Linked DNA regions of Caenorhabditis elegans. The protein of the gene in region 2 interacts with the protein of the main gene of each other region in a pairwise test. Each region holds a gene or a part of one and is shown on either strand. Other genes may lie near its edges. The genes, in order: magu-4, ephx-1, hpo-34 and psf-1.

Region 1 (9,990 bases), on a different chromosome or scaffold from region 2:
AAATGGTAGCGCATGTAGAGGAAATAGAGGAAATGTGTGAATTTTTTCAGTCATCTCAGGATAACATGTATCTGTACTTTTAATATACCGTAATTTCCCCATTATACTTGCACTGCCTTGCTCCACTTTTACAGCTTTCTCGATTATCTTTGTTATATTTATTCATATAAAAATTGTTAACTGACAAAATATATGCAGAACATTTTTTTAATATTTATATAGTGGAATTGTTTTTGATAAGACTTAAGACAATCGAGATATAAACCGTCAAAATAGATCATTGGGGTGTAAGTCTAATGAAAAATACTATTCAATACTCGTTTTTTGCTCTAACATTTGTATATTTTATAAAATTTATATTTTATAATATTTTACAAATATTTTATAAACAAGATGTTTGAATTAAGGTAAACTAACTTTGCAAAAAACTTAACGTTTCAAAACGAAAGAAGACATACAAAAATATTCGGTATGTATGTGGTGAAGGAAACTGGTTAAACAGTGTCCTTGTGGTCCGTATCGGAAAATTAGATTGTATTCATTGATTATCTTTAAACGGATCATATTACTTGATATTATTTTATTTCAGATACGATTATCTAATTCAAATTAATGGCAAAGTATCATCAGCGGGGATTTTTTATAGTCTAACATGACCGAATATCAATTGAACACTTCTAAATTTTCAGTCAAAGTTTTGGTAATTTGCCAAATTTCCAAAAAAACTTACTTTTGGAGTAATTTCGAGAATTGCTGCAGGTCCGCTAGAATGTACGGACAATTAATCGAAATTAAAAATTCACTTCGAAAACTATGATAGGTTTTTTTACCAAAACAAATTCAATACATGAATAGTTTTAAAATAATATCTGATTCCATTAGTCCCATGAACCACTCCAGTTTCATGAAATTACAGTTTCATTGGTTTATTTCTCGGTTATTCTGATAGAGACAAATATTACCAATTTAGAATGTAATGGTAAGTCGAGGTAATATATATATTTTGATGTAAAAGAGATTTGAAAATCGGTACCTGTTAGGACACCGCATTAGCCAAATTGATCCATGTGTTCTACATAAATTTGCAATTTAATACAAGTTTGAAAAAACTTAAATCAAATTCTCGACCTACCATTTCGCGTACTTTCGCTTCGAGTTTACACCGTATTTAATTTCAAATTTGGGTTATAACTTAAAGGGTGGAGGGATTTTGAGAACTCACTACAGTATGACAAAAAAATCACACACTCCTGAAATGTTTCTTTGGTACAGTTGCACATTTCATTTTACCGTAATACCGAGTAGAAAATTTCAAAAGAATTACTCCTATTTCAAGATTCTAGATTGCAACGATAATCAAAACAATATTAATAACTACATGTGTTCCTTGTGGTATGCTTCTCGTCCTCTAGTTCTCATAAAACAAACATGGTCAAGTAAGATTCCAACGTGAATGAGATGAAGAAGCAGTAGAGAAACGAGCGTGTTTGTCCATGCGTCCCATTCGTACAGTTTCTTTGGTTGTCTACCTAAACTCTCTTGTTTTCAAACACTATTTCACCCACCTTCTCCCGCATTTCTCTTTCACTTTCCGGGAGGAACTGTTCGTTCGTCGTGCGCCCATCGCAACCGACCTGTATCTGTATGTATCCTCTCATTTCTCTCTAATAACCTACTTCTCTTCAATCTACTTGGATACATGATTTGTTATGAAATGTTTTATCTTTTATTATTTCATGAAGTTAGAATGTTCCTTATGAAATTGAGTTTACCATCAGAAGTGGATTAGAATTTAGTCAATGGGATTTCAACTACATTTAAATCTCAGCTATGTATTAAAGATAAAATCATTTTCACAGAAATTTTCTATGAATTGTTACTGATAAACGTCTATTTGTAAATTGTCAACATGCTGTGAAATACACCTAGGACTACTAGCCTGAAATTATTCCTCAACTCCAGTGATAGGTTTCTTTGGTATATCACCCTAAAAACTAGTTACACCTGCCTCGTAGGCACGAAAGTAGGCACCCTCTATTTGCATGGAAGCCCTATTATATTATAGGTAATTTTTCAGATTCACAAGAATGACATGTAGTTCAAGTTCAATTAAAATTCCTACATAAAATTCCCTACTCCTTCTCCTACTCTTTTCATTTTTCTATTTCATCTCAATTCAATTTGAACAAACTTCAAACAATTCGTTTCACACATCACAAACATTGTAAATACACATATATCGTTTGTTGAAAAAAGTCATGTGGGTTTTTAAGGTTAAAGTTTAACCGATTTTATTACACTATCTCTCACGGTTGAAATATTCAAAATAATATTTTCTTCTAGAAAACAGCGTTTCTACATATTCTGTTAAAGCTAACGGCCTAAATTTTAAATCGACTCTATTTTTAAAAAATTGATCAGGTTACCAACTAGCGATGTTTTATATTTTGTTCAAAGGTAGGAGCTCCAAAGTTTGTCAAAAGTCAAAAAAAAAAGCTTAAAGTTTACCAAGAGCCAAGTAAAAATTTATATTATCGAAACATGGAAAAACGTATCAAAACATAGTTTTTTGTTAAGATTCTCTGCCTTGTATGTTTGTATTTGAGGCGATGATGATGGCAAGACTCGTATGTTTATTCTTTTCCTTTTCCTGCAAACTCGTCTTTTAACGGATTATTTCGGACCCATGCACCGCCCATCTTGACCGTATTAAGACAGTTTTTGTGTGAATTTTCGTTGGATCGAAACACTGTGAGTATTGTTTTTATTTTGAAATATATGGATCTTATAATCTGAATGTTCAGTTGGAATATCGCAGTGTGGCTTTTGATCTCCGCACACACTTCATCTGATTGGTATAAAAATATGTGGAACAAATTACTGATTATTTTCACAGTTTTCATTTTGAAAGAAATTCAAACAGTGAGCTTAGTCAGGTTTTGGGAAAATCGTTATCGAAAGTTGAGTTTTTCAGTATTTCTAGTTTTTTTAGTGTTTCGTTTGTGGTATATGTTCCTTCATTTCATTAGCAAAACAATAACGTTGGTCTGTATTTCAAAAATCTGTCATGTATTTCCAAAAGAATATTTAAAAACATCTCGTTTCTATTTTCAAGTGCCTCTATTTTCATTCTTGTAGTAACCTTCAAATTCCAACTAATTTTAACTGTTAATTGAAGGAAATTTCTTCAAATTGTGTTATTTCTAATTCACCCGTCTTCTTCTTTTCCTCCATCTATTCCATACGAACCGAATGAACAAATCAGTGTGATATTCCTGCGCATTCGACCGGTTTCTCACTTATTTTCTTTCTATCTTTTCTCCTATTCCATCTTCTATAATTAGTCCTTTCCGTATGTCGTCCAGTTGACCCATTTCTCCGTTTTTCATTCAGAATTCTATATGGTAGAAGTGGAAGCAAAACCGTCGAGTTTGTCAGTTGAAGAGGATGAAAATGAAAATGAAGAGGAAAAGCTTGAAGATGTGGAAAAAGAGAAATTAGTGAAACAGTTAAAGTTTGAAAAAGCAGAACGAAGACGGATTGCAGAGGAAATGGAAAAAGAGATTCGAGAAGTTGAGGCAAAATGGATGGAAAAAGTTAGAAAAGCATCTGAAGAGCGAGATGATATTGGAAAGAAAATTGATGAGTTTGAAGAGAAAATTGATAGTCTACAAATACAAGTACATAGGTTAGTTCATGATTTAAATCACTAGAAAAGCTCAAAAATGTTTATTGAAAATTAAAAAGACCTGGAATTGGTACCAAAATGTATATGATAAGTGGTAGTTAACTTCCTGAAATTTCGAAATAAAATCAATATGTCATTTTTGAGAGAATTTGTTGGTGCACTTTAAACTAGAGAATTGTCGATCTGAAACTTTTCGGGCCAGTTTTTAATCATAATGATGTTGTAAAAAATTTGAATGGCTTTAAAAATTTGAAATTCAAGTTTTTTTAAACGTTCGAAAATAATTTTCAGCAGAAGAAAACTAATAAATATTTAAAAACCATTGGAAAATGGCCCGTTATGAAAAAAAATATATTTCAGAAGTGAAACATATAAAATGGAAATTGAAGAAGCGAACAAACGGCTACGGTTACAATATGAAGCTCTCCAGAGAGATTATGAGGAAACAATGCAGGAAAGAAGTATTGTATTAGAAGAAAACTCTCGTCAAAATGAAGAGAGGGATCGACTGCAAAAAGAAATTGAAAAAATGAAAGAGGTTTGATTTTACAATGACAATCAAATTAAAAAAAAATTTCAGGATTCTGAAGAAGTTGCTGCATTAAAACAGAAACTTGAAAATACAAGAAGACTCTTGAAAGTCAATATGGAAGAAACTGCTCAGGCAAATGCTCGAAAAGAAGCTGCAATTGCAAGGCTTACAGAAGCAGAACAAAATGGAGCTAGAATTACAGAAGAAAGAGATGAAGCTTTGAGAAAATGTCAACAGACAACTGGAGATGCAATTGTGGATATTTGGAATACTCATTCTGTTCAAATTAATTTGGTAAGTTGAAAGAAAACTCATTTCAATCGTTTCGTTTCAGACAGCCAAGATAAAAATTAAAAACGAAATTAATTTCAGCCCTTCAACAAACCAAACTTGGGAATTATGCTTGGTGGAGGCCGTACGGACGATGGTTCAATTGTTCATGGTCCAATATATGTTAGACAAATTGCTCACGGTTCTCCATTTGATAATGTATTGAAAAAGCTGGATCATATAATGATGGTCAATGACATATCTGTAACAGATATGGACGAAAGAAGTGTAATGGGAATGTTATCCAACTGTCATCACATTCATCTTGTTATTAGAAGAAGATCAAATTGCAATAAAATTAGTGATGTTTGTCTGCCATTGAACTATGGTGAGTTACTTATTACATTTAAGAGTGTAGTTTTACATTTCAGGTGTAGGTCTTGAACTATCCAATGGAGTATTCATTAATTCCTGCGAACCAAACGGTGCTGCTTCTCGTAGTGGATTGGCTCCAGGGCAACGAGTTGTTCATGTTATGCACACTCCTGTTTATGATGCTAAACATGCTGAGATGCTAATTAAAAATTCTCGAGAGCCTCTAGTCATTGGAATTCTTCAATCTACTAAACGAGGTGATCATAATGGAAAGGATAAACATCGACAAACTATATTTTCGAGGGTAAACCTTCGTTATAAAATGCTAGTGAAACTTTAGTATTCTTGTTTCAGTGGTTCAGTCGAAATGGTGGATCTGATAAAGAGCGAACTGTTGTTGCAAAAGCGAATATTGATCGTTCAAATGATCAAGTTCTTCTTCGTCAGGGATCTCTGCGAATGCCACAAGCTTCTCCAGCATCAATGAGTCCCTTGGTACGGTATGGTTCTCTACGTGCTCCAACCTATTCAAGTAGCATTGATCATACAAAATTAATGCTGGATGCACTGGATAAAAGATTCAATGCAAAGTTAGTTTCCTTCAAATTTGATTACTACAAAGTTGAATGTTCAGATCCACAGCGCATTCTGAAATAAGTTCATCTTCAACAGCCGCTCCAACAGCTTTATGGAGCCCATCTTCAGTTAATGAAAAAGATCTCGTATTTGCTGGAACCAATATCGAAGGAGTTCCAGTATATGTTCCTAAGAGTACCATATTTAGCACACCAACGTCACCTGTGACGTAAGATTCTTGACATTTTTAGTCAAAAAAAAGAAGAAAACTCTGACTTTCAGAAGACTAATCCGTCAAAATAGTGAGCAAAAACGAACAATGTCTCAAATATCATCTCATCGAGGAGGATGGGATGGAAGAAGCTTTTCATCGAACACGACAACTTCAGATGCTCGTCCATATTCTATGCACTTCACACCTACATCATCAACTATAATGGAAGGAAAACCCCACAGAAGATCAGCTGTTTACAGTCCAAGTCATCCACCAGTATATCCTACAATTCGGGATGACTCTATGTCTTCTGTTATGTCTTCGAGTAACTCCATTCGACTTCCAAGCACAAGTTTTTCCAATCAGTATCCTAATAATTGTAGGTTTTCAAAAGTTAACTGCTGTAGTCTAGAAATTGTTTCAGCTACCTGCAGCTTGACTGGAGGGAGTGGAGTACCTCCACGTCATTGCATAAGTAAAGATGGAAGTGATTTTTCAATTTCAACAACTGGAAGTGCAATGCACAGTTACGCTGAGGGAAGATCCAATAAGAAATATCACTTGCCACGTGGAAATCATCACTCTGAATCTCTTCTTGTAAACCGTTCATCTCAACCGAGACTGGTCGAGGTTCCAAGAAGTGATGTAAAACTTTGTGGTGGAAATGCGATTGGTACGAGAAAGCAATTCATGTCAAAATAATCTCCGCTATATTTTAGGTATCCTCGCTGAAAAATCAATTGGTTCTGACCTTCTCGAAGGAGATCTCATTTTATCAATCGATGGAAATTGCGTTCGAAATACAACACTCGAGTGTGCAATGAATACTTTATCAGCTGATAATTCGGAGTTAACAGGTCTTCTAGTTCAAGACGGTGGAGATCGATTGAATCGTTTGAGACTTGGAGCTGACGGTGACAGTTTCTTCCTTCGTGTTAATATCGATAGATCAATGGAGAACAAAGATGAACTGGATTTAAAATGTGGTGATGTTGTTTTCGTTGACAAGACTATGTTAATGGGCAAAACTGGAAGATGGAGAGCATGGAAAGTGGACAAAGAGGGACGACAAAGAGAACATGGAGCTATTCCAAGTTCAACGACTGTTTATCAGGCAATTCGAGCTAACAGATATGCAAATCCGTTCCCGAAGAAGGCTTATGAGTGGGTTGAGAAGTTGGATACAAAAGTGAAACGACCGGTTCTTTTGTTTGGAGCAGTTGTTGAGCCTTTCCTTCAAATGCTTGTTGATGAATCTGATAAGTTTTCAATTGTTGCAAGAGAGTCTTTAACTGCAAGTTTGGATGAAGTATCGGCTTTATTGAAGGATAAAGTATTGATTGATTCGAAACAAAACGATGATGTTTATGATCTTTATCACGTCGTATCAACTGCTCATATTATGGATATCACGGCTCAAGGGTTGAGTTTTCAAACATTTTCATAGTTATGCTGAGATTTTCAGACTCCATTGTGTCCTCCAAGTTGATCAGTCTGCAATTGATCGATTGAAAAGATGTAGAATGTTCCCTATTCTTGTGAAGATTCGATTCAAGTCAGTTAAACAGTTAAAAGATGTCAATGAACATATTTGTGGAGAGAAAATCAGTTCAAAAGAAGCCAAACAGCTTATTGAAAAGGTACGGTAATTTACGAAAACATAATTAACCCGCCCGGTCTCTACCGTCGTCTCATTGCCTCTCATCCAAAAACGCAGCGGGCAATTGAAGAGGCGGATCAGAGGCTCTCATCGGAGTCTATAGAAACTTTTCACAATACTTTTTCGAAACTTTTCAAAAAATTTTCGATATACCAATAATTAATTTTCAGGATTTGAAAATAGAAAAAGATCTTGATGGATCAGTTACACTTGTAGTGCCAAGTCATAATAATGTCAGCTTCATGATGACTCACGCTGTTCTACAGGTAATTATTCTTTCAATTCGTGCCGCACTTAACTTTTTATTATTTTTCAGCTGAAAAAAATAATTGAAGACGAGCAGAAAAAAATCGTATGGGTTCAAAGAAAAGTCGATGAAGAATAAATAATATTGAGAAAGAGAACATAGAATCTCCGGTGCTTTTATTGTTTGAAAATGAAGTAATTTGAAGAAATATAAATTTGTTCATATGAAAATATTGAAAGCATTTGTAAAAATGAAAGAAAAAGGTGGTTCAGTGGAAAAGGCAATAATTAATTAGAAAAACGATGGGAATGGCAAGAAAAATCGAGGATGACGAGCGAGCGGAGTCGATGTAGAAAACATTGAACTCTCGGAGATTTGATATATTTCTGAAATAATCAAAATTATTTCTCAGTTGTCAAGAGTCACAACCTGTATAAATATAGCTCAGGTGGCCAAGAGAGTTCAGCTGATTTGAGATCAGCATTACAGTAAGATTGATCACAAATCCATTGCTCTAAGCCAGTGTATGCACGGGTGTAGCCAATCTGAAAGCAATAATTCGTAAAAATCTGAAATCTGATAATAATCGTTTAACGTCTAATTACATCATCAGTTCATTTTTTAAAGTTCTTTAAAAATTATCAGAAACATGTTCGAAATTTTATCCAAAATTTTCATAAATTCGAGTCGATAATTATTTTCTGTTTTATTTAAGGCTCAAAAGGATTTTTGAAAAATTATGTGGGTTTTAGATACTGCAATTCATAATTTTTTAATTAAAAATGTTTACACAAAGACAAAATCTAACCTTCAACGGAGTGGCACCCTCGACAGTCACACTGTTAACACAACCTCTGAACACTTCTCCACGGGAAGTCGCACTTATGAAACAGAACTGTCCAATACAAGAACTTCCGGACTTAACATATGGAAGACGTGGATTAAAATAATCCACGTGGCATTCGGTTGTAGCAGTTGTCACGTCAAAGACTAATGTTGTGTCGAGAGACTGTTTTAATTATACAATGAATTGAAAACTATTCCAAACTTACATCAGAACCATAACATGCATGTGTGTCCGGTTGACCTCCATAGTTGAGCCATACGCATGTTCCAGGATAAAAATTGAAAACTGTTAGAGTTGGGAAAAAGTCAAATTCATTCTCCTTATTGCAGTCTTTGGTGGACCAAGTGTAATTGGCACTGTTCACTTCAGTTTGAGTCTGAAATTCAATAAAATTGGAATTTTCAGTAAAAGTTCAAAGAAAGAAAACCTTTGCCTCAATAAAAGTACAATAGTTTGCAGCACACGGCTTTGTCCATCTGGGTTTTGGCATGTTGTTCACTTTTTCTGGTTGACAAGTCTGAACGGGAAGAATTGTTGTAGCAGTGTCAGCAAGTGATGTGTAGTTGGCATTACAGTAGTCAGCGCTGGATGTTTCAACAATTTAATTAGTATTCATCCTTTTTTCAAAATTTTTTTAGTAAACTGTAGAACGGGACACCCAGGAAATTTTTACCTTTTTACTAGAGTTAACGGTTTTTATAAAATAATTATCACCGACATAAGAGTGTACAGAAGCAACATTGAAATTGTTTTTTAAAAAACTTTGACGATGAAATTAAATCAAGCTTTGAAGTGAAATACCAACTTACTCTGAACAGAAACACATAACATTTCCATGATGATTGACTCTACATCCTTCTGGAGCAACTTCCCCTATAACACATCCTTTTTGTATCGTTGGCATCATTTCATTTCCATAAAAATATTGAGCATGATAACAGAAATCTCCCCGACATGTACTTCGAGAAAAGTTGCATCTAAAAATATAAGAACATTTTTTCCCGGTACTATTGCTGTTAGATTTTCCTATTGTTAGATTTTATCACTAGATTTCCGAGAGTGTTAAAGATAAAACATGTTGGGCGACCAGAGTGAAGATACAAATAAAATTTTCAAATAGATTTTTATTTAATAAAGTTCAAGAAAATCGTGTTATGCGCTGACAAATAGGAAGTTGTGTTCTCAGAACTTTTCTCTTGAAATATATAAAATTTCAATTGAGATGTTGGCAGGAGTTGGATTATTCTTTGAATTAATAAGCTTTGGCTATTTTTTACCTGAGGTTTGCCATCTTCCTAACCAAGTTTACACTTTTAACATAAATTATAAACAAAAATAGATGTTTCAGAAATTTGGAAATCAACGTTAAACTATTGTTAAACTAAACATTTATTAATTTAACTCACTCTTCATTTCCAAATTCACATCTTGAACAAGTGACCAGTGTATTCACCTCATGAAATAACGTAAAAAGTACAATCAGTTGAATCAGTATTGTCTGCATGACTGTTTAACTGACTGACTCCGTTTTTCCGAACAAAAATATAGAAGTAGTTGTTGATTTGAATTCAATACGCTCAC
Region 2 (8,160 bases):
TCATGAAAACTTTAAAGTTTTGACAAAAAATTCCAAAAATTTTTATATTATAATTTGATTGAAAATTACAGAATATCTATAAAAATTTCAATTAAAAATTATAGAATTTTGAAATAACTGACTTGAAATTTCAGAAAAAAATAGACTTTAATGAAAAATCAAATTCCTGGAAATTATTAAAAAAATTTTAATATTGACTAAAAATGCAATAAACAAAAATTTGCTTCAAAAAATTTAGAGTAAACCTTTTTAATAATTCTAAAAAACTGCCTAGAAATTTCAGAAATTATTTTCAAAAAACTTACTTCAAATTTTTTTAAATAAATTTTTTTAGTTTCTGGATATTTTTTCTCAAAAAACTCACCATAGAACTAAAATCAGTGTCCAGTAGATCAACACTGACGTGGCACTTTGATCGTCTCTTCGCTTGTTTGTCGCCGACTTTCTGCCGTAATTGGCTAACCTTCAATCAGAATTAGTTTGATTTGTCTTTCTTGTTTTGTTTTCTGAATACCCAAAAAGGAACAAAAAAAACAAAGCACCAACCTTTTTCGACAAATTAAGCTGCAACTCGCTCTTGAACCTGAACAGCTTTTCCAGCTCCATTGAGCTCATCCTTTTCGAGGATTTTGGATTCCTTTGGAGAGTTGAGGAAAGGAAGCGCTCTTTGATTTCCGGCACTTTTTGAAATCTTTGTTCTTCCAGAAGCTCCTCTTCAGCTTCATCAAAGATTTCCTCATCCCGAGGATAAGCCCGTCTGCTTGAATTGGGCTCTGACCCGGAGGCTCTAGGAGGCTCCGGCCTTGAAAAGTCGGTAGACTGAGATTCATAGGTGTACTCGGATTCTAGACGTTGATGTGTAGGTATACATGTGTTTGATGATGGCGTGACCAGCATAATTTCATCGTAACAGTTGTCGTCATCCAGTGGAATAAAAGGGACATCTGGGACGGGGATATTCGGGATTCTCGGGAGACCTCCTGTGCTGGAGGATGTTGAGCTGCTCCGGAAACTGACCGGCAGGGTGTCAAATTGATTGGTAACTGGGGGTGGAGGTGGTGGGGTCTTCAGACGAGCCCTGGGCAGCGTGGCAGACATAGACCTCGGCGCGGGAGTAGGCTTCAGGTAGGAAGGAATCCTCTTGATCCTCTCCTTAGACGGAGGTACAGATGGTAGAGGTGGTGGTGGAGATACAGCGGAAAGATCTTCTGACGAAGAAATTGGAATTGTTAAGGACACTCGACACCGCTCCTCGTACACTGGGTGACCATCTTTTTTGGAATGGAAAGATGGAGAAGGGGAACTTTCAACAATCATGCTTGTTGTTTGAAGACTGAAATAGAAAGGGATTCTTATTTACATTTCTGATTCGTGAATCATAGAGAACCTTGAAACATTCGAAAAATGAGTCACTGTGGGTGGAATTGAAAAAAAAAGTTTTTTTTAGAAATTAGTTTTTTGTTTGAAATTTTTAATGGTTTTTCGAAGTGGTTTCATTGAAATTTTGCTTTATTTATAAAGAACTATTTAAAAATTTGTCTGTTTTGTATTTTTATAAAATTGTATTCTATTGAAGTAAAAAAAGTAACTTTTCAAAACTTTAATCAAGATTTTGAAAGCCGGAAGGTTTTGGAAACTGAAATGTTTTGAAGAGAAATTGAATTGAAATTTTTAAATTTGAATTTTTTGAAATTTTATTTGAAGATATTGTTGTAAAAGATTATTGTTGTAAAATTTATAAAGCTTCAAAATTGCCAAAAGTTCAATTTTTGTATAGTATTTCAAACTAAATTATTTAAAATAAAGTTTTAGACTGAAAATTTTCAGAACAACTTTAAAACTTTGATTAAAAACATTATTTTTTAAAATTACCCCTACAGTACCCCACATCACTCCTACAGCATTCCACAATACCCTACAGTAACCTTACTGTACCCCTACAGTACTACTACAGTACCCCTACAGAATACCTACAGTATTCCTATAGTACCCACGATGTAATCTTACATTAATCTACAGTATCCCACAATACCCTACAGTAGCCCTACTGTACCCCCACAGTTCTTCTACAGTAATCCACAATACCCCTCAAGTTGTCATACAGTACTCCTACAGTACCCCTCATTTCACCTACCGTAATCTAGGTGCAGGTAGCGGTGTTATCACAATTGGAGCACCCGATGCTCCGGCACCCGTCGGTGAAAAGTCGCCAGTGGATTTGCTCTTCCGAAATTCAGAAGATGTGACCAGGACGGCGAGCTCCGAGTTGCTCCGCGTTCGTCGTTTCAACGAACTTTTCCGTCGCGGTATGGCGCTTCCACGTAGCACTCGTGATGTGCACGGCCTGAAAAACAAGCAAATTAAGAGCAAAACTGAAGAGGAAAATTACTTACTCGTGAAGGTTTTCCACTACCCGGAACTTGCCGATTCGTTTGGAGATCACCGGTTTGTGGTGCTCAATTCGGCTTGTGCTGGTTTCGAATCTGGAAATCGGAAATAGCTTTTGGAAGATCAATTTTAAAATTGCAAATTCAACAAGTCGCCGACTAATCAGCGTATTCTAATAGGCGTGGCTAACGTCGCTGATTGGTTGGCGCAATTTTTTTTAAATTTTACATTCTATAATACTACAAAAAACGAAACGTTTCGGCAAACTCAAAAATTGTTTAACAATCTCTCCAAATGACCATATCGTAAAAAGGAGTGGTCAGTGATGAGGCGTGGTGGGAATATTTGATAACAATAATAATAAAATGATGGTGATAAGGCAGGGGGAGCGGGGAGACATACACATTTTGGAAATTCTTCAGAGATGTACTAATGAAGAGAGGGATGCGGTAGGTAGGTTCCTAGGCAGGCAGGCGCTAAAGCTAGGAGATGGTAAATTCCAAATAATATACATCCTAAAGTTGAAGTTTGGGTGAAAGTTGGAGAAAGTTTCCAAAAGATTCTGAACATTTTTAATGCTTTTTTAAGCTTTCAAAGTTGAGCTGATATTAGAGTAAAACTTCATAAAAAGTTGCCAAACTTCTCCGAACCATCTCTAAAACTCCAACAATTTTCCCACGAAGAAGCTTCTGGAAGAAATGACGACGCCCTCGGTCTCTCTTTACTTCTTCAACCGTTTTTCTTCCTGTCCGGTTTCAATATATTATGTCAATCAACCGAAGGGTAATGTGCTGCTATTGTTGGCTGGAGAACAACTGTGTTGGAGTGAGTGTGTGAAGGAGGAGGAAAAGTAGTATTTGTTTGACAATCATACAGAAATTGAATTGCAGACATATAAACAAAAAACTTTTTTTTTAAACGAAGAAGCATAGGACAAGAGAAAAGTTAATTTTCTAGCTGGTTATTCTATTGGTATGAAAATTTTGTGTTCTACACTTTGGCAGCTTATGTATATTCCGGTGAAATTCAAAAATATCCAAAATTGGTCAATTGCAAAACTATTGGAAAATTTAAAACCAAGATTTTCTCAGTTAAGAACTTTTTGATAAAAAACTATGACAACTTAGATATGAGCTGCCAAAATTAAACTTAAATAAATATTTTTTGAAAAAATGGATAGAATCTATGTGTCAACAAGCAGGCGGGGACAGTTTTTCAAAAATAAATGTTTGGTAAAAGTTTGGCTGAAAATAAGCAACGATGACACGTACAAAGTGGGAAAAAGCTACAGTACTCCTACAGTACCCCTACAGTTATCCTAGAGTACTCATACAGTACCCATACAGTTATCCTCCTACAATACCTATACAGTACTCCAATTTGTTCCTCTACAGTACCCTAAACTGGTACTACAGATGTTATTACAGTAAAAGCCTCATTTTGTCCCTTCAGTACCTATGCAGTACTCCTAAAATAGTCGAACAGGTTCCTACAACACTTCTGCAGTACTCCTACAGTTCCTCTACAGTGCCCTTACCGGCACTACATCTGTGAAAGCCTCCCACTGCCCCTACAGTACTCCTACAGTACCTACAGTACCCCTGAAGTAGTCCACCCTACAGTATTTCTACAATACCTCTATATCACTCCTACAGTACCCTACAGTATTCCTACCGTACTCCTACAGTACCCCCACAGTGTCCCTACTATACCCTACTACCCTGCAGTACTGTACCCCAAAAACCTTATAGTACCACTTCTACAGTAACCTTAAAATATCTCTACACTCTACAAAATCCTATAAAAAATGCTGTCTTACCTCTTGGCAAGTTCCTTAACACTGGGCAATCGCATTTTCGTCGTCGTCGTCGTTGTCGCGATCTTCTGGGCTTCTGATGTCGTCGTTGATGGTGCATTGGACATTAGATTTTGGCTCAGATTACCCCCAGACACTGTAAATTTCATATATTTATTTGATTATGTTTTATTAATCTAAAAATAGAGTTTTTTTTTCAAAAAAAGCGAGAAAAAGAGGAAAAGAAAACAGAGGAGATGCATGCAACAACTCTCGATGGGTTAATCGCTTGATTCAACATTTGAATGTGTGAGTGGAGCCCCCCGAGAGAGCAAGTGGGAAAAAGAGCACAATAATATTGATGATGATTGGGGCGAATGTTTATACTGCGCACCACATACACACTTCCCCAAAAAATCGCGGAAAAAATTTTCATGATGAAAAAAACATCTTCCTTTTCAAGAGCTTTTGGGAATGATAAGCCGAGGAGGGGTTGCCTACATTGTGTCTGCCTAGGGCCTACCTAATGCCTACCTAGTGCCTGCCTAGTGTCTGCCTAGCACCTGCCTAGTGCCTATTTGGCACTTCCTATCTACGACCTACAGAGTGCTTTCCTAGTGCCAGCCTAATGTCTGCCTAGAACCTACCTTCTGCCTGCCTAGTGTCTGCCTAGTGCATGCCTAGTGCCTGCCGAGCGCCATTACAATTAGAAGCAAACTATAAAAATATTTCTTAAAAGCTTATTCAGAAAGAACAGAACTAGTCTGTCGACCTAGCCGTCTCGGCTACTTTGCTTCAGCTATGTAATGGCTACTTCCAGACCAGCACTTAATACAGACCCCCTTTTCAACATTTTTCCAATTTGCCAAAGAAATGTGTGAAGTACTTAAAAGAATAAAAAAAGTTAGTACAATAGACTCTAACAACAAAGAAACCTTGAAAAATGGGGGTCAATTACATTTCTTTTTCTGAAGTGAGGTTAAATGGTAAGTGAAATTTTTATACAAAGCTTCTCCTAGTAAATATGCATTTTGCAAAATCTTCAAAAGTGCTGCACAATGAGCAGAACACACGACAGGAAGCGCCTTTTCTCCTGCGAGACCATGGTCAGTGGTGGTCAATGCGCGAGAATCGGGAGACGAGGAGACGCAGATGGATAAGGAAAATGTGTGAAAAACATACGGGAGGCAAGGATTGCAATTTGCATTTACTGACCGCGAGCACAATGTTGATGGGTGAGTGACATTCGAGAGGACTACGAAATGGATATTGCAATATTGCACTTGAGTTTTTTTGTTTTTTTATGCTTCAAGAGCACCACTTCTACCTCAGAGTTCATGCTTATTAGGAGGGTTACTAGTTAGATTCAGGCTTCACAAGAAAGTCTAAAGGCTCAGGCTTAGGCTTATTCTTAGGCTCAGGACTATGCTTAGGCTCGTCTCCAGTATCTAAGTATCTAATTCCAAAATTTCAGACTTCTCTTCGACCTTCATTAAATTTCGACCAATCCTCAAGGTTAAAACGAAAAATTCTTAGGGCTTTAAGCATATCCTTCTTTTTGAATTTTTGCTAAATTTTCAGACTTTCAAAACTTTCAAAAAAGTATAAATCGCATAAAAAGCTAACCCTTGAATTTTACGTATTTACAAAGCGCAGAATGGCATCTACGCTCATAACTCATGAAATTTGATTGATGAACAGCTTGCTAGTCGAGAGTAATATTGTTCCGAGGGGAAGGGTGACACATACGGAAAAGCCATGACAAAGTGAAATTGGTTGGTATTTGAAAAAGGTCAAAACTAGAACTTTTCAGATTTTTTTAAAGTTTAGAAGTTTTAAAACTAGTTTTCTAGCTACTATTTTAAAAGGTGTTGTGCTCCCGTGACCTCCCACACAGAATCAAATATTTGAACTTTCAAACGAGCGTAACAAAAGACTATTTGCACAATCACAGATACACAACACACATTCTTGAATGATTTCGAACACTTTCCGGTTTTTGAACTTTTTTTTGAATTATTAGTTGATCAAAATAACTTTAAAAAATTCTGCTAGGTGTTCCTGGAAATTCTATAGGTACGAAAATATTGTGTAAATTTTTCTGAAAAGTTTTGAGGTTTTGACAAAAATATTCAAGCTAGCTCCGAAAGAAGACAATTTCAGATATTTGACTACTTTATCGATTTCTAGAGGGATTATACTTTTCTGGAATTTTTTTTGGAAATTAATCGGGTTTTTTAACTAAAAATTGTATCATAATTTCTTTAGACAAATGTCTAAAGAAATGTCAAATTTTTTTCTTAAAAAAACGAAAAATTCTAAAAATTTTCAAAAAGCAAATTTAGCTTAATAAGCTTGCCCACGTGGCGTCAGGATGTCCCATCTCGGTTTGATCTACAAGAATTGCGGGAATTTAGACGCTGTCTTTTCAACTGATTTTACATGGATATAAACGTGCTGACGTCACATTTTTTGGGAAAAAATTACCCGCATTTTTCGTAGATCAAATTGTAATGGGGCAACCTGACACCACGTGCTTGCACTAAATATTCTCCAAATCAAAATAAAAGTTCAAAAGAACCGAAAACTGAAACACTGTTGTTGATACTAATGAAAAGTAAACAGCCCACGCCGATTGTGTAAAAGAGAGGTTTCGAGTGAGAGGGGGGATTGGTCTTTCTGCATAACCCTCAAGGGATTTATAGTAGAAGAGACGAGAGATTTAGAGAGTGAAAGGAAATGTAGTAGTACGACATGCAAATGTACAAGTTCACACTCCCTTTTCCTCGTTCTCAAAAGAATCAAATCGTTTCCGTACAGGTGCTCAGTCAGCTGGAAGACAATTCGGTGGTTATTGTATTAAAATTTGATGGTCAATTGGACTATTTGTTGCGAATCTATAATAGTTTTATTTCTATTTTCCTGTTCAATTTACAATGTCCCAGTGCCAAGTGCTCTCGTACGAAATGTGTAAAGATTTTACCGCTGCACTCTATTAAATATATCAATTGACTTTTGAGAGAGAAGCGGCTCGCTTCGGTGCCAAAGGTGACAAGATATATGGGAGGCGGGAAATTGCGAGAAATTGAACTTTTTGAAAGAAAAAAAAACGTTTTGGAGATTTTTATCGCCCATTTTAAAGCGAGGATTCGGAAAAGAAAAATATTGGGAACTTTCTGAAATTTTCTTTTTTGGAATTTAAAATATTTTTGAAATTTTCTAAGTCTTTTAGGCATTCTCATACTCATTTTTTGAAGAATTTTCAGAACACAGTTACTTTAAAAAAATACAGACAGTTTTGGCAGGCCTACGCCTACCTGCCTTCAGACCTACCTACGTTTGTATTCTAGACGACCTACAAGTGCCCTTTTGCCTTAGAGGTTACCTACATCGACGCCTGGTTGACTTCGAGGTGACCTCACCTGCCTGTTTCTAAGGCGTCCTAGGCAGGGGTGCGCGGCAATTGCCGAACGGCAATTCTACAAAATGAGACGGTTGGGCATGTTTCCCCGATCTTTTTCATTAAAATTTGATGATACAATATAGAAAAATATTTTCTCTATCTGAAAATGATTTTTATTTGACTTAAAACAACCGAGAAAGTGTTCAAAAATTGTCCGAAAGTTGAAAATTGCCGATAAAAATTTCCGAAAAATTGACGGCAATTTTCAGCTTTCGGACAATTTTTGAACACTTTCTCGGTTGTTTCAAGTCAAATAAAAGTCATTTTCAGATAGAGAAAATATTTTTCTATATTGTATCATCAAATTTTAATAAAAAAGATCGGGGAAACATGCCCAACCGTCTCATTTTGTAGAATTGCCGTTCGGCAATTGCCGCGCACCCTTGGTCCTAGGCTTGCCTGTATCTAATAAGGCGACCTACATCTGCCTCGTTGCTTTTCAGGTACCTACGGTCAAAGTTCACGTAAACAAGTGAATGTAAAGTGGTAAACATTATCTAGGTAGGCATGCTTG
Region 3 (8,036 bases), on a different chromosome or scaffold from region 2:
TTGAAAATAGTGAAGAGATTGAAAAAAAATTTTTTTGAAAATAATGAAGAGATTGAAGCCTAAAATAACAGAATCTAGAAAAGTAGTCAAAAACAAAAATTGATACTTATTGGTAATTTAGAATTCAAATGCCTTAACCTTTGTGAACTATTCCCTACTTTGTCTTGGTTTCACCAGTCCTGTTTTCTCTAAGTCTCCATTTTCTGTTTAATATGTTGCGAACTGGATGGAGAGAGCCATGGTGGAGAGCGCAAAGAAACGATAGATAGGAATGAGTGGGAAAAAAGGAGAAGACCCAAGAGACATCGACTGAACCTGTGTGGAAAACGAGAGAGTAGAGAGAACAAGGATACACAACTGTGACAGGGGCATGGAGACTCAATAAGAAAGCGGAGGCTGCGTTTAAAGTTATATGGATAAAATAAATTTAAAATATGTTTAGGATAAATAATTTAACTAAAGTTTTTCTAGCTTTGTATAAACGTCAATGTCACGCGCAATTCTGATAAGAAACTCTGCGTAAAGTTTAACCTTGTACAAATGTCGTATACTTTCGATTCGAAAGTAAAAGTGTGAAGCTAGAGGAAAAAAGGAAAATATCACACATATGTTGAAAGAAGTTTCATACAAACATTCAGCAAAAACTCCTACGCAAAATAACATCAATATTAATAAAAATGAAACTAAAGTAAGGTACAGAATAAACAAGTGATTTAGGTATAATTATCGAAAGGGCTCAGGCATCTAATCCGATAAGAGGAAAAGTCAAATTAATAAGTATATGTACAATAACTGCAGATTGTCTTCATCTTCGAATGTGCCAAATTCTATAATGCCGTGAACAGCGCGTCGTTACCGCAGCTCTGACCTCTGCCGTTTTGCGTTGCGCTATGCAGTGATGACCAACGGTCATCTAAACAGCCGGCTGGACAATCGATGATTTTTACGTCATACAAAACGGGGTTGAGTCGCGTAGAAACTGTGCATGAGTCGATATTTAGAAAAATTTATGAACAATTATGTTGACGGGAGAAATGGAAGATGCATACTATCAATGGGAATACATAATGGGTATGTGTAACAAATAATTTTGAACAATTTTAACTGATCCATCGAATATATGTTATATTTTTTAATAATAGGTTGTTCAAAGACCATGTTCCAACAGCAGGAATTTTTTAAAATCAAACTATAAGTAAAACAGTTTAAGTAGTGCATTTTAATAATAATATAACTTTCATGCAATACTATTTTTATGGGTCGTTTTGAGTGCAGGGCTATCAGTGATACAAAACTAATAGATCTTACAAGTAGAGATGCGCCAGAGACATTATGTGAACAACACATTATTATAACCGAAATGCCTTAAATTTTTGAAAATTGTGAAAGCTGCCTTCTAAACCATTTCAAAAGAAAAACATCCATATTGAAAATGCTTCAATTTGTAATAGTTTTTTTTGCCTTTCGAGGTTTCCGTTAAAAATTGCCAATAATGTGTAAATGCTACACTAGGAGCACTAGGAGCTCCATTTTTTCGAAAGTTATAAAATTTTTGTGCCATGCTAAAAAAAATTACAAAATCGTGAAAACTTTTTTCCAATATCCAAATTAGTAACAATTTCAGCTTGTTCTACTTTTTTTGTGATATTCAAATATTTCAGAACTATCAGGAAATGATTTAAACCCTTTTCCTACGGTTGGCGTTTTACTTACAAATACCAAATACACATTGCCATTTCCAGACACTTTTTTGATAAAGACGACCATCTTAAGAGTTGAAAGACCTGTTTTTGGTTTCATAGATGATTTTAATTAATTATTTAAAAACACTTTTGGCTTAAAACATTATTTTTTCAAGAGAGACGGAGAAAGATAAATTTCCATGGCAACATTGTCAGCGCACGAAGATTATACAACCAAGCATAGAGATTGACGAAAGATTTGTTTCCTCTATTTTTATTCACAGTTGAACAAAAATTGTGCATGTTGCTGTAGAAATGGACAGATTATGGAACTATTAGATGAAACGCAGACTGTAGAAAAATAAAAATGGCCCGAAAATAAAAATCAGTAAATATGTTTAACTGTATCTGAAACAAAAAATAAATGATATGTTGAAAAATTTGCCATTAATGTTTTATTAAACCAATTTCAGCCGTATTCTATTATGGCACGAAAAACTAATTTCCCGAGTGTTCACAGGATTGCAAGGAAAAGTTCGATGCCGACCAACAAAACATTAATTTTCGTTATAACTCAAATTCGGTAGGATATTCGAAGATTTGAACATTATTTTTCAAACATATCCATTATATCCAATTCTCGAATTTTTTGGGTATGGCATCACAAAGTCATAGTCCGTTTCTGCGTTTTTCACTGTTTGGAATTGTAACTTTAAAAATGTATCATTTTGTGTCTGATTATTTTTTGCAACTCTTAAAAATTCTTACTTACTAGTTTTGCAATGTAATAATGTGTTATACAAATTACAAATGATATCTAAATAATTATATAATTTTAAATGTATAGAAAACTTTTACTTGTCTCAACATGACAATTTTGTTAGTCAAGCTTCAGTTTCCAGTCAAATAAAACATATCACACTAACAGAAACATTTTGGATAAGTTTTTGATTTAAAATTAAATTTTTATCTTTAATTTGTCATTGTCGTTTTCTCGGGAAATATAGTGTTTATCAAAATTAGAATGTGCGTTTAACTAAAATGTAGGATTTCATCATATTTGTAATTGAGCATTTAATAAGATGTTTTCTTGTGTCTTGAAATAAATTCAGATGTATGAAAAAAACTGTATTCGTTCAGATGACTTAACGTCCTTTCAGAGCAAATATTTTCGGGTACTGGCAGACTGTAAACATTAAAAACATCGACATTCTTTTTCTCTTTGTCACTTTAGCAAATATCATCTGCTATAATTTCCACTGCAAGTGCAATGCTTGTTACCTCCCAACTGGAACACTGACAGGTTAAAAAACTATAAAACGCTTGCTTCAAACAGCATGGAATTCAGTTGGAATATAGACCCATTTCTCTCCCATAATTTTAGTTTAATTTTGAACTTATGTTTCCTTTTCTGACATTAAAATATGTTCTCATGTTCTAAGCGTGTCTAAATGGAAGTCCCCCAATAAGTCACAAAAAATTATTATGCTATCATGTAATGTGTCCGGCAAAGAATCATTTATAAATTTCTCTGCGTTTATCAAAATTAAACGTGCTCCAAAAAGTGTGCTGCGTGTCACATACTATCATACCGGTCGTTTCGAAATTGTTCTCTACCCTCACTTTCCCCTTGTCGTCGTGGTTTATCATCTTACATCAAATGGCAGTTATCATCGGCGCCGTGTTTGCCGTTTGTAGCAGAGTTAAGAGCCCGACTGCTTTTTGAAACCAATCTTCGCGTTTTACTTTTTTTCGCAACAATAATAATAATAATAATGATCTAACAACCTTTTCAAATTTAATTCTCAGCTATTTTAGGTTACCTATTGTTCGTGGATTGGAAAAAAGAACCGAAGAAAAAATGATGGAGACTAGGAATGCCAGTGATAGTAAGTATGACATTAACACATTTCCCAATTCCAGTTTTAAAAAGGTTTGATGGACCAAGTCTTTTCTGCTGTCACGCTTCCTGCTGTTGGACAAACAACTACCATCATGGAGCATCATCAAGAATCTCACACTGTTTTTCACCAAGTAAGAAAATTTTTGAACAGTTATTTTGTTGATATTAGTTATTTTATTGAATTTCAGGAGAGTCATCATGTTGAATCTCACCACGAGCATATGGAATTCTCCTCTTCTGGGGTAAGCAAATTTTTATTTACATTGTAAAGATTACTTTAACTTCAATTATAATCTGATTTTTTTTACTTCTGATTTGATAACTTATCAATTTTTTGCTCATCAAAACTGAAAATCAGTTGGTGCTCTTTGATTTCCGTGTTCGAAAAAGAATGACAGTATCGATTGATTTAAGAACAATTTTGTTGGAAAATGAACAAAAAATATTTTTTCAGGTTATCGTAGGAAACGTTGTTGGTCATGATGCCGTTATTCAACGTCGTCCAACTGTGGATACTGAAGATCAGCGGTCGGAGGTATATATTAAAATTAATCTTTCATTATTTTGAAAAAGAGCATTTATTTAGGTGTCCGCAATGTCAAAAGCCACATCAGTTTCTGTTCATTCTAGCGTTTCTCAAAAATCCGCTCAGGTATTTCAGTTCGAACAATGAAAACTATAAACGCCTTTTTCAGCACTACGATCTTCCACCTATCCCACAGTACGACATGCCTCCGATTGTTGTTGGGGAAGCTGTTGTTGGAAAGGCACCATCAGTTGCTTCTTCCAGATCAGGGTATATCTTAAGCTCACTCTACTGAAGAAATAATAAATAATTTTCACACACCTACAGGTCCCACCATTCCGTCGCTTCGCATCATTCGCATCACTCCCAACATTCCCATCATTCCGCTTTGACTCATGACAGCGAGTCGACTATTTCCGAGGGAACTCTTGTGAATGAGCCGATCGTCAGTTTTACAAAGATTAAAAAACAATTTATTCATGATTTTTCAGGTGGTCGGAGCACATGTTGCATCTGAAGCTCCAACCCCACTTGCTGTCGGACAATCATTCGAGCATGACGCAGTGATTGAGCAATTTAAAAATCTTCATGGAAGAGTAAATAAACATTTTCAAACTTAAAACACCTATAATTTCTTTTTCAGGATCAATCAGTGGTTTCCAGCATTGTTCCTGCCTCAGTTCACATTCAAAGTGACAGCGAGGACTCTATTGCTCCATCAAAGTTGACTCACTCGATTGCTGTTGTACGTTTTTAAATGACATATCAGTTAAACTGTGAATTGCTTTCAGGGAGGAGTTGTCGATTCTCACAATGGTGTCAATGTTTTGCACAGAAGTCACGAAGTTGAATTTGTGGACTTTGCTGCTCCAGCTTACTACCAACCACCATCAGTTGTCGTAAGTGTCAAGAGTTTGTGTTTTTTATTAATACAGCTTTGTTCAGGGCGCTTTTGATGCTCATAGCGAGGATTCGTTTGGTTTTGAGAAGGTGGAATATGTGGACACTCATGAGGACCATCACCACAAGTTGGAGGAACAAGTTCCGCAAGTTGTTCATGAACATGTTATTGAACAGCATTACGAGCCTTATCAAATCGTCCATGAGAACCATAATGTGTTATCGGTCGATTTCGGAGAGGATCAACACTCCATAACCCATCATGATCATGACCACCACCACCACCACCATGAATCCCATGTTACCCATACCTTCACCTCCAATGTGAAACAGTCCCGTTCTAACACTGCCTCCACTTACCAAAGTCGCCAAATGTTAGCACATAATGTTGGGCCTAAAATTACTGAGGAGTTGCGTCCGGCTGCGGTGCTGGAGGAGGAAGAGGTTGAGGTTAGGCCCCCAGTGATGGCCTACGTGGCTCCAATCCCAGTTAAGCCACCACGTACCCACGAAGAGAGTCATATCTATAACGCGTACGAAACGGAGATTCATCAGCAAAAGGATATCGTCAAGTCTACTACTGTTGTTCTGGAAGATGTCCGCTCAGGATCTGAAGGTATTCATATCCGAGCGGATAATTCTTCATCTGTTGATATTATAGGTGTTAGCTCCCTTCGCAGAAAGTTTGAGCATGGTGCTCCACCACCATTGTCGCCTGTCTTTGAAATGAAGAAGCATGAGCACCACAAGCATCTTGATCAACACCATCACCACAAACACCAAGACGTCGTCGTTGAGCAAACGCAATTCCAGGTCGGCGATAACTTCATCTCTTCTTCTTCTTCTAAAGCAATAGAGAATCATTATGACGTTCCTTTCGATTCTTATGAGATAGTTGATAAATCTGAAAACACTAAAAAATCCTCATCCTCTTACCACGCCTCCTCCTCCTACCACAAGCAAGCACCACCGCTGCCACTAGTCGATTACCATGTATATGACACGCCAACTGTTGAACATTTCTCCCATTCGCCAGCTTTCTATACTGACGATCAGCGCCACCATTATGTTCCCCAAATCAAGGTGATAACAGAGTATCGACACATCAACCCTCGTCATCATTACGTGGAAAGACAAATTAGAAAAGCTGATGGAAGTGCGATTGCACAAAGTCCGCAAGTTCAAACGATTGACTATTTTAAAGAAATCAACAGGGCTCACCATTTTGTCCCATCTACGCCACCATCGCTGTTTAACAACAAGCGAGAAAGTTTCCACCATCACAGCTTTATTCCAAACAGTTTGGAAGCTGAAAGAAAGAGTCGTAGTGTTGAAAGAGCGCACCATTATCTCCCAGATTCACCAGCGAATGTGAAAGATCAGAGAAAAATAATCAGGGAACATCATTATGTTCCTCTTGAGAAACGCTCTCAATCGTTGGATTTAAAAGTAGTTCATCCTGAACATCACTATGTTCCACTTGTCAGAAAAACAACGGAGGATCATCAACAAAAAGTGAATCACGAACATCATTTCATACCAGCGGAGAAAAAAACCGAAGCAGTCAAAGATGTTGTTCACGAGCATCACTACATTCCACTGACCGCTCATAAAACTGATGAACATAATGTGAATATCACTCGAGAGCATCATTACATTCCGTTGAAAACGGAGCAAGTGCAGAGCAAAACAGAAATTGAACGTCACAATCAATACGTTCCAATGACTACTCACAAGGAAACAAAATCGTTTGATACTGGAAGAAGCCACTCTTATATCCCATTAGGTGGAAATGTGGAGCAGTCAAAAACCGAGATTTTTCGTCAGCACAACTTTGTTCCTGTTGTTGATAAAAAGGAAAAAAACGTCGAAGAAATCAATCAAAAGCATAATTATGTGCCAGCTCATTCGAATGTGGCTGTTTCCGATAAAGAGCCGATAAGCCGTCATCACAACTTTGTGCCGCTTGCAACCAAAACTGTAGAAGAGACGCGTCACTCTAACGACTTAAGTCATCATCACTATATGCCACTGCCAGCAAAAAGGGAAGAGGGAAAGACGGCAGCGGGTGATAAGGTCGGCTACGAACATCACTATTACCCGTTGGCATCGAATACTGAACGAGTTTCGGTTCACAAAGGACAAGAGCACCACTACGTGCCTCTTATTGCTAAACCAACGGAGAGTCACGCTTCCAAAATTGTCATTCAGCATCAATATATTCCGCTAGCTATGAGACATCAAAGTGTACCGAGACTTCCTTCGGAGCACAATTATATTCCGATTGCTATTCATGACGATTCGCATCAAAAAGTCGATTTGACGAACCATCAATATTTGCCACCTATTGTTAACGCCGAACAGAAAGAAGCTGTTAAGTTGTATGAGCATCAATATGTTCCACTTCCGCCCAAAAAGGATAGTTTCGCGGTAAGAAAACTTGAAGGAAAAGACCACCATTATGTTCCTCTTGTCCAGAACTACTCATCAAAAGCTCCACAACTTCCACGAGAACATCATTACTATCCGGCACCTGTTCGATCAGTAGAGCATCATCAAAAACATGTTCATGAGCAACATAACTATATTCCTGCAGTCCATCATCATGAAACAAATCATCAACTTGATCGTCAACATGGATATATTCCAGTCGCTGCAAAACACGAAGCAAAGAAAAATGTACTCTATGAGCATCAGTACATTCCGCCAATCACGAGAACGGAGCAAACGAATGGTTATGATAGAAGACACAATTATGTTCCGGTTGGAAAAACTGCAAAAGCGACAACGACAGACATCCACGTGCATCAGGATCATCAATATGTACCGCAAGCCAGCCCAAGGAAAACTATTTCGGAGGTGAATCGCTCTCACAATTACATTCCAGCCCTTCCTCCCAAAGAGCACCAATCCCGGCATGAGCACTATCAGTCTCATTCTTACCTTCCCCCTAGTCAAAAATCTACCTCACATCAATCTCCGCCTAAACTCATCAACCACTCTTTTGTCCCTCAGATTCCACACA
Region 4 (6,487 bases), 6.0 Mb from region 2:
ATGAAACAGTGGTTTCAGCGATCCCAAGCCTTACAGCAGGGCCTAAAAGTGTTCAGTTTTCAAATCGGGTAGAAGTTGTGATGGTTGATGCGGAGAATGAGGTGGATAACAATATAAGTAAGCTATCAAAAATCTTCTGAATAGAATACAAATTTCCCTTTTTTACTTCTCTTAGAATTTTAATAAAGTATTTATTTCCAGACACACCAGCATCCGAACAACGTCGTAACTCGACAAGTGGTCGCCGCCCATCGTTTTTGTCTCAAGTTCGTGATCTCATCCATCCACGCACCGGAAGTCTAGGAGCCAGTATGTTCCGTCGTCCAGAAGCCACAAGACGTGTACAGGTGGCTGAGTGCAACGTGGAAGCGGTTTACGATCTTCGAGACAAACATGCACACTTCTACGATGATGACAATGGATTCCGAAGACCGCGATCCAATAGTTCGGATTTGTTGATTCTGAGGAAAACGTCTCGTCCGATCTCGTTCAATGTCGTTGGAGTTATTGGTTAGATTTTAACTGTTCTACCCAACCACGAAGTTTTGCAATTTTTGCATCAAAAATACGCTACCCGGTCTCGACACCACTAAGAGTAATGTAATTACAAACTTCAATTTCAAGTACTCTTTAAAAGCTTGTCGAGACGGGTTACTGTATTTTGAGCAAATTTCTCGTCTGAGCAAATAGAAAAATTATTTTTATAGAATCATATTTTCAGATCAAAAAACGGATCCCTATCATCAGTACATGTCAGTCGTGGATGTGTATGAACTTTGCCCAAACAACTCAAAAGTGATCATTATTGATGCATCGACTCCTACTACCCGGGCATTCAGAATCATGAGAGATCACAACATCACAACTCTAATCGTTTGGGATACCAGTGATGCTCGTCATGTGAAGAGAAACATTCTAACTCTCACTGATTGCCTTAATGCGATCCGAAACGAAACACCACCGGCAGATGGTCAAGTTCTCAGAGCTTCGGATATCTTGAGTGGAAATCAACTGGTCAGTGTCTCAATCTCGTCGAAAATTCTGGATCTTTGCGAGGAACTTCATCAGAATCGTCTGCATCGAGTCGTGGTCTTGGATGATGCGAAAGAAGTTGTCAACATCATTTCTGTTCGACGTGTCATCGCAGCAATTCACAAGCAAAACAGAAGTCTTCACTTTGCACAGTGGCTGTCCAAATCGATTGGAATGTCTGCCATTGGAACATGGGAGAATGTTGCAGTGATTTCTCAGAATGAAACCGTATACAGAGCTATGGAGGATATGTTAGGATTCCATTATTCCGCGCTTCCAGTCGTCGATTCCAAGCAAAATGTGATCGGCGTTATCACGAAGACAGATATTTGCAAGGCACTTCCACGTAACTTCATCGAACCAAAGCGTTGGCTTCAGGAGACTAAAGTGTCTGATATTCTTCACATCTGTAAGAGTCAAATACTGATCTCGTCGGCTGACAGCGTTGGGCAGGTTCTAGACACATTACTCGCAGGAGACACACAAAGTGCATTCGCTATTCACAATGGAAAGGTATAAATTTAACAACATTTTTATTTTAGTTTAGAGGATCTCTGGATCTCTAAACTAAAAATAAATAATCCAAAGCAATTCTAATTATTCAAAACTTTATAATTTTCAGGCGATTGGTGTGATTTCTCTAACAGATTTCCTATCACACATTCTTCGTTCTCCATTGGCAACAACTGATGAAGAACCATCACAGGAGCCAGCGATGCCACCCACTCCGGAATCCAATTCGAGCAGCACTGAAAATGTCTGCAGCAAGCTGAAGAATCTTTAGATTTTCCCAATAAATATTCCCCGTTTTATCCATGCATTTTCTCGATTTCCGTTGTTCCATTCATTATTTATCCCGATTCCTCGTTTAAAATAAGTAGAATTTCAACCGTTTCCTAGCTTTTTTCTCCCAGTTAATCTTCATCGTTTCGCTCAATGTTTACCATTTTCCTGTAATAATCATATTCTTGTTTTTTTTTTTGGTTTTTCCGCATCATTTCGGTCCCATTTTTCTCTTCTTACAACACCTAGAGCTTTACTGCTACCTCTTGGGGATAATTTGTAACCCCAAATTTCACTTTTCATGCCTCCTGACAAATCACATGCACTTCCATAATAATGTACTTATTTTCTCGGTTTCTTCTGTTCCTTCTTTTCCTGTTTCAAATTGATGTTTCCCCCGATTTTCAACTGTTCTTGAATTCTGAAGTTGTTCCTTCTTCAAATGAGTATTTAAAACAATGTGTTGTAGAGTGATTATTTTCAGAACAAAATGATATCTGAAGTTCATAGAAATTTTATATTTCAGATTAATTCAGATTAATTGAGATTTCTGGTGTTTTTTGAAGAAAAAAAAACTCGAACGCCTAGAGCTCATCGACCAAAAAGTGTTTATCAGCGTTTTTCTATGCGTTCTCTCAGAATTGCATACTATTTCCATAAGACACTACACTCTAACTTGTTTACCATTTTTCACATACACAACTTTTCCCAACAGAAATTCTTTTTATTCTTTTATTTTTAGACGATTTTTTACTGAGTTTCCACGAAAAAAAAGTTGTATCATAATTACTTCAAAACTTAACACTTCACTTTAAAGACGCATACAGTATTCTGAATAGGTCTCGCGACGAACTCACTAGTCAGCCAAATGTTAAGTTCAATTTCTTTTCATTTGAGAAAAAACTAAACACTGAAAAAAGGCCGTAATAGCGAATTTCACTAAATTACGAGTTTCTGAGCATTTCATTTTGCTGTGACGATTCAAAAATAATGTCTCTAATGTGCATTTTCAAAGTGGTCACCATTTTTTCGAATAACTCCAAGTTTCCAAAGCTTCTTCTTTCAGAAAATGGCATTTCTCGGTTATGGAGCTGCCGCTGCTCTCGGCGGAGCTCTCGTTTACGCGAATCTTCCCACTTATTTGACAATCGGAGCTGTTGCTCCAACCTTTGCTCATTTGGCGGCCGCAAAACTTGTCCCAATTCGTGGTGGACCGAAGGAAAAAGAAGTTGTGGAGAGAAATGAGCAGTTTACGGTAAACATTTTCACTCTAAAATTAAAATTATTTGAGAAGTTTCAGGCCGACTCGTTGTTCAAGAAAGGTCCGATCATGGTGATGGCTGTACGTCGTCCGGGATGTATGCTGTGCCGTCGTGAAGCTGCTGAATTGCACACACTGCTCCCGTTGCTCAAGGAAAAAGGAATCGAACTGGTAAGCGCTCCTTCAAAATAGAAAAATTAAAACTTTGCTTTCAGGCCGCCGTTGTGCACGAGACTCGTGGAGCAAATGAGTTCAAGTCTTGGTTCTCCGGCGGTGATGTCTATTTGGACACTGATCGCACTTTCTACGGTCCAAACGAACGCTGGCTGCCAGTTTGGATGGGATTTCTTCGTTTCGGAACTTACTCGAATGTTTACAAAGCAAAGAAAGCCAAGGTCGAGGGAAACATGGAAGGAGAGGGAAGACTTTTGGGAGGTACGAAAAATTATTAAAATTATTTTTTCATAATAATTGTTCAGGTGTTTATTTGATTGCTAACAACGACATCGTGTTCACTCATTTGGAGAAGGAGTGGGGAGATGCTGCCGATATCAAGGAAGTTCGTGCTGCCGTCGAGAAATTCTCGGAGAAGTCGAAATAATTTTTTAACTTATGTGTTTTCTTAATTAATTAAACGAGGCTACTTTTTTTGTAAAATAAACTGACAAGAAGCTATTTATACAGATCACAGGTTGAAAACAAAATACCGACAACAAGTCAATGAACAAGCTCGAGAACACCCTGACGTATCAGCATTTCGCAGTCTTGGCGTGGAAGGGAGTGCTGAAAAATGTTATACATTATTTAAAAAATTAAAAACGGGATTTCTCTTTTTTCAAATAAAGAAAAATTCGAAGACTTACCAAACTATCCTTGGACAGCTGAACTTGAGTTCCATCTGACGTTTCAAATTCTCCATAATCCTCGAGAGCTCTAACTTGTACAAAAAGTGACTTCGGTGGTGCAGAATGAAGCAGCAGATTAACACCACCTTCTCCAAGATTGCTTTGGAATCTTGCCAATGTGCTCGAATACTCATTGAAAAACTGAATTTCCGCATCGCAGAGGGCGTTCTGAAAAATAATGGTTGACAAATTTTAATCATGTGCACCGATTACCCTAACAGACGCGGGAAGAGCACCTCCATACTTCCATCTGAATGATCGAATCCTGTTTTTCCTCTCGTTCACATAGGCCATCATGCAACGCTGGAAAATTGAACCACTACAATATTTCAAAAATCGACCTTCTCGACTTACTCGAATATGGCACATTGCAGCTAAACGAGGTTGAAGAAGCGTAGAATCATGAGGGAGTCCTGCACGGATTTTTTCACTGAAAAATATGATTTTAAATCAAGAAGTCACGAACGAATCGGTACGCTTCCGAAATGTATCACTTACACGACGGCAGCATTCTTTTGAAACAACTCATCGATTTTCTGATAACATTGGCGTACAAGTTCTGTCTGAAAAGAACTCAAATTTAAAGCAGAAAATAGGATATAATTTTACGTTATAAGGCGGTAATACATCTGGATTTCTTTTCATCTCTAAAACAAGTTGTAGTGCTTTGTCGGCGACGCCTCCTCGATTCTGATCGCCGGAACTCATTTTTTGAACTGCAAAAATTAAAAGTTGATTTGAAAAATAAAATTTTAAAGGGAAATACTTGATTTTAAATATTAAATTCGAAAATAAAAAACATTAAATTTAAAGTCCTCGACTTTCCCACCATTTCGGCTCTTGTGAACTAGTTGTAGACTCGGCCACGGCCATGGGTCTCGCAGCGATTAGCCGAAATGTATCGCCGCCCGTTGAAAACTGCACACATTTTTCTTAAGCATTTTTTAAAAGTGGAATATTGACGATTTTTCATTATTTACTCAATTAATTTCTTCTAAAATCAAATATATCACTAAATTCTGAGTTAAATTCGTTTTAGGCGTTACTGAAACGTAATCCCATGGTCGATAATGATCAATGTTTACAAAAATACATGTTTATATTTAAAACAATATTTAGCACATAGTTAAGGATTATTGGAGCTGGAACGTTCTTTTTTAAATGTATATTCTTCCTGATATTCATGTGTATATTTGCTAAATTGAACAAAATGCCTGTTTTGGTTGTTTTTCTAATTAATTTCTTGTTTATTGATTATTTGGCTTAATCGTTACTCGATTCTCACTATTTAATTAAATATCTGGTTTATTTTTATTTTTTTAATTCTTCGAATTTTCAGTTATGGCCTGGTTCCGTCCTCCACCACCACACACTCAACTCAGACCATGGGTTCCGGACGCGATCTTTATCCCGATCTCTCGCGCCGTTGAGCGTGTCGGAGTGTTCTTCTACAACCGGTTTGTCATTGTCTGAAAACGACGAATAAAATTCTTTTCCAAAAATAACCGATATAATTTTTAGCGTGTTGAACAAGACCGAGGTTGGATTGTTCGACAAGAGATGGAACAAGAACGTTCACGGACCATACTGCCACTGGAGATACTACGGAAAGCTTGATACCAAGTTCATGGATGTGAAGCTAGGAGATCTTCCAGCCTGGATGGCTCGTCGTGAGAAGACCCCATCTGCCTTCTACAACGAGTTCATGCGCAATATCTGGAGAGTCCACAACCTCTATTACTCAGGACCAGTCTACAATAACACTGTTCGTTTAAATTTAAAAAAAAAATACTAATTTTTTTTATTTTTAGGTCAAGGTAATCTTCCGCTTCATCTTCGCCTACTCGTTCCTCAATTGGCTCGTCAAGTCTCACCGTTACGTCGATTTCCAGAAGACGATGTACCATTGGTAGACACCATCCGATTTCGTCTACTCTTCAAAGCTCCACATACAAACTCTGTCGCTGGGGGAGGACGAAACAGCCATCCGATTTTTTCGTATTCTTTTTTCCCCCAATTCATCTCATTCTCGAGACGTCTTCTGTTAATTTAGTCCCCTATCGATTTTGTCCGTTTGTGTCTTTTTTCTATGAGAGAATAAATAGTGTATGGATCGGTTGAATAGAAATATTAAGAAGAAGGTTAGATAGCCGATGCGATTTTCTGGATTTTTTCGCTGTCGGCTTTATCTTTAGATTTGAATCTGTAGATCTAAAGTTCCGATTCTATAGAAGCGCGTCTTCATGTTTCTATTTTATTTTATATTTCTCCATGCTGTCTTATTTCCAGAGCCTCATCTCTTCACCTATGGCTACTGATCAGAAACGAGGGCTCCTGATTGTATTCGAAGGTATTTGATTTAGCTTAATTTTAAAGAAATATCAATATTTTAATATTTTAACAGGGCTCGATCGGTCCGGCAAGTCGACACAAGCCAAGCGACTCGTTGAGTCCATCAACAAAAAATCCACAGAATCCGGAGATGCTTCATCTTCCCCATCAGCCG

The links.
Region 1: the proteins of ephx-1 (region 2) and magu-4 interact in a two-hybrid assay, tested with the Caenorhabditis elegans proteins (one large-scale study listed by BioGRID).
Region 3: the proteins of ephx-1 (region 2) and hpo-34 interact in a two-hybrid assay, tested with the Caenorhabditis elegans proteins (one large-scale study listed by BioGRID).
Region 4: the proteins of ephx-1 (region 2) and psf-1 interact in a two-hybrid assay, tested with the Caenorhabditis elegans proteins (one large-scale study listed by BioGRID).

What each region holds. Positions count from the first base shown.
Region 1 is NC_003282.8:10,006,415-10,016,404, forward strand, and holds magu-4 (PDZ domain-containing protein), read left to right. Parts: upstream 1-3,338; 5' UTR 3,339-3,401; coding exon 3,402-3,688; intron 3,689-4,048; coding exon 4,049-4,226; intron 4,227-4,268; coding exon 4,269-4,514; intron 4,515-4,592; coding exon 4,593-4,878; intron 4,879-4,921; coding exon 4,922-5,169; intron 5,170-5,219; coding exon 5,220-5,455; intron 5,456-5,499; coding exon 5,500-5,670; intron 5,671-5,723; coding exon 5,724-6,034; intron 6,035-6,079; coding exon 6,080-6,328; intron 6,329-6,374; coding exon 6,375-7,077; intron 7,078-7,120; coding exon 7,121-7,295; intron 7,296-7,485; coding exon 7,486-7,581; exon of another isoform or gene 7,582-7,631; coding exon 7,632-7,700; 3' UTR 7,701-7,793; downstream 7,794-9,990. Other genes in the region: F44D12.2 (DUF7622 domain-containing protein), read right to left, coding at 7,831-7,948, 7,992-8,107, 8,371-8,571, 8,615-8,785, 8,837-8,993, 9,219-9,386, 9,816-9,913.
Region 2 is NC_003280.10:4,001,065-4,009,224, reverse strand, and holds the start of ephx-1 (SH2 domain-containing protein), read right to left. Parts: upstream 4,312-8,160; coding exon 4,208-4,311; intron 2,484-4,207; coding exon 2,394-2,483; intron 2,345-2,393; coding exon 2,135-2,344; intron 1,334-2,134; coding exon 547-1,333; intron 464-546; coding exon 365-463; intron 1-364.
Region 3 is NC_003284.9:11,514,525-11,522,560, reverse strand, and holds the start of hpo-34 (ZM domain-containing protein), read left to right. Parts: upstream 1-3,494; 5' UTR 3,495-3,543; coding exon 3,544-3,571; intron 3,572-3,615; coding exon 3,616-3,716; intron 3,717-3,773; coding exon 3,774-3,827; intron 3,828-4,039; coding exon 4,040-4,120; intron 4,121-4,171; coding exon 4,172-4,237; intron 4,238-4,280; coding exon 4,281-4,381; intron 4,382-4,438; coding exon 4,439-4,556; intron 4,557-4,602; coding exon 4,603-4,707; intron 4,708-4,754; coding exon 4,755-4,856; intron 4,857-4,902; coding exon 4,903-5,010; intron 5,011-5,056; coding exon 5,057-8,036.
Region 4 is NC_003280.10:9,966,883-9,973,369, reverse strand, and holds psf-1 (putative DNA replication complex GINS protein PSF1), read right to left. Parts: upstream 4,698-6,487; 5' UTR 4,690-4,697; coding exon 4,591-4,689; intron 4,545-4,590; coding exon 4,480-4,544; intron 4,412-4,479; coding exon 4,336-4,411; intron 4,285-4,335; coding exon 4,195-4,284; intron 4,150-4,194; coding exon 3,940-4,149; intron 3,860-3,939; coding exon 3,794-3,859; 3' UTR 3,740-3,793; downstream 1-3,739. Other genes in the region: aakg-5 (CBS domain-containing protein), read left to right, coding at 1-117, 202-510, 722-1,545, 1,655-1,816; R53.5 (Peroxiredoxin-like 2A), read left to right, coding at 2,885-3,070, 3,116-3,247, 3,292-3,511, 3,556-3,677; R53.4 (Putative ATP synthase subunit f, mitochondrial), read left to right, coding at 5,323-5,438, 5,503-5,746, 5,793-5,894; dtmk-1 (Thymidylate kinase), read left to right, coding at 6,289-6,331, 6,386-6,487.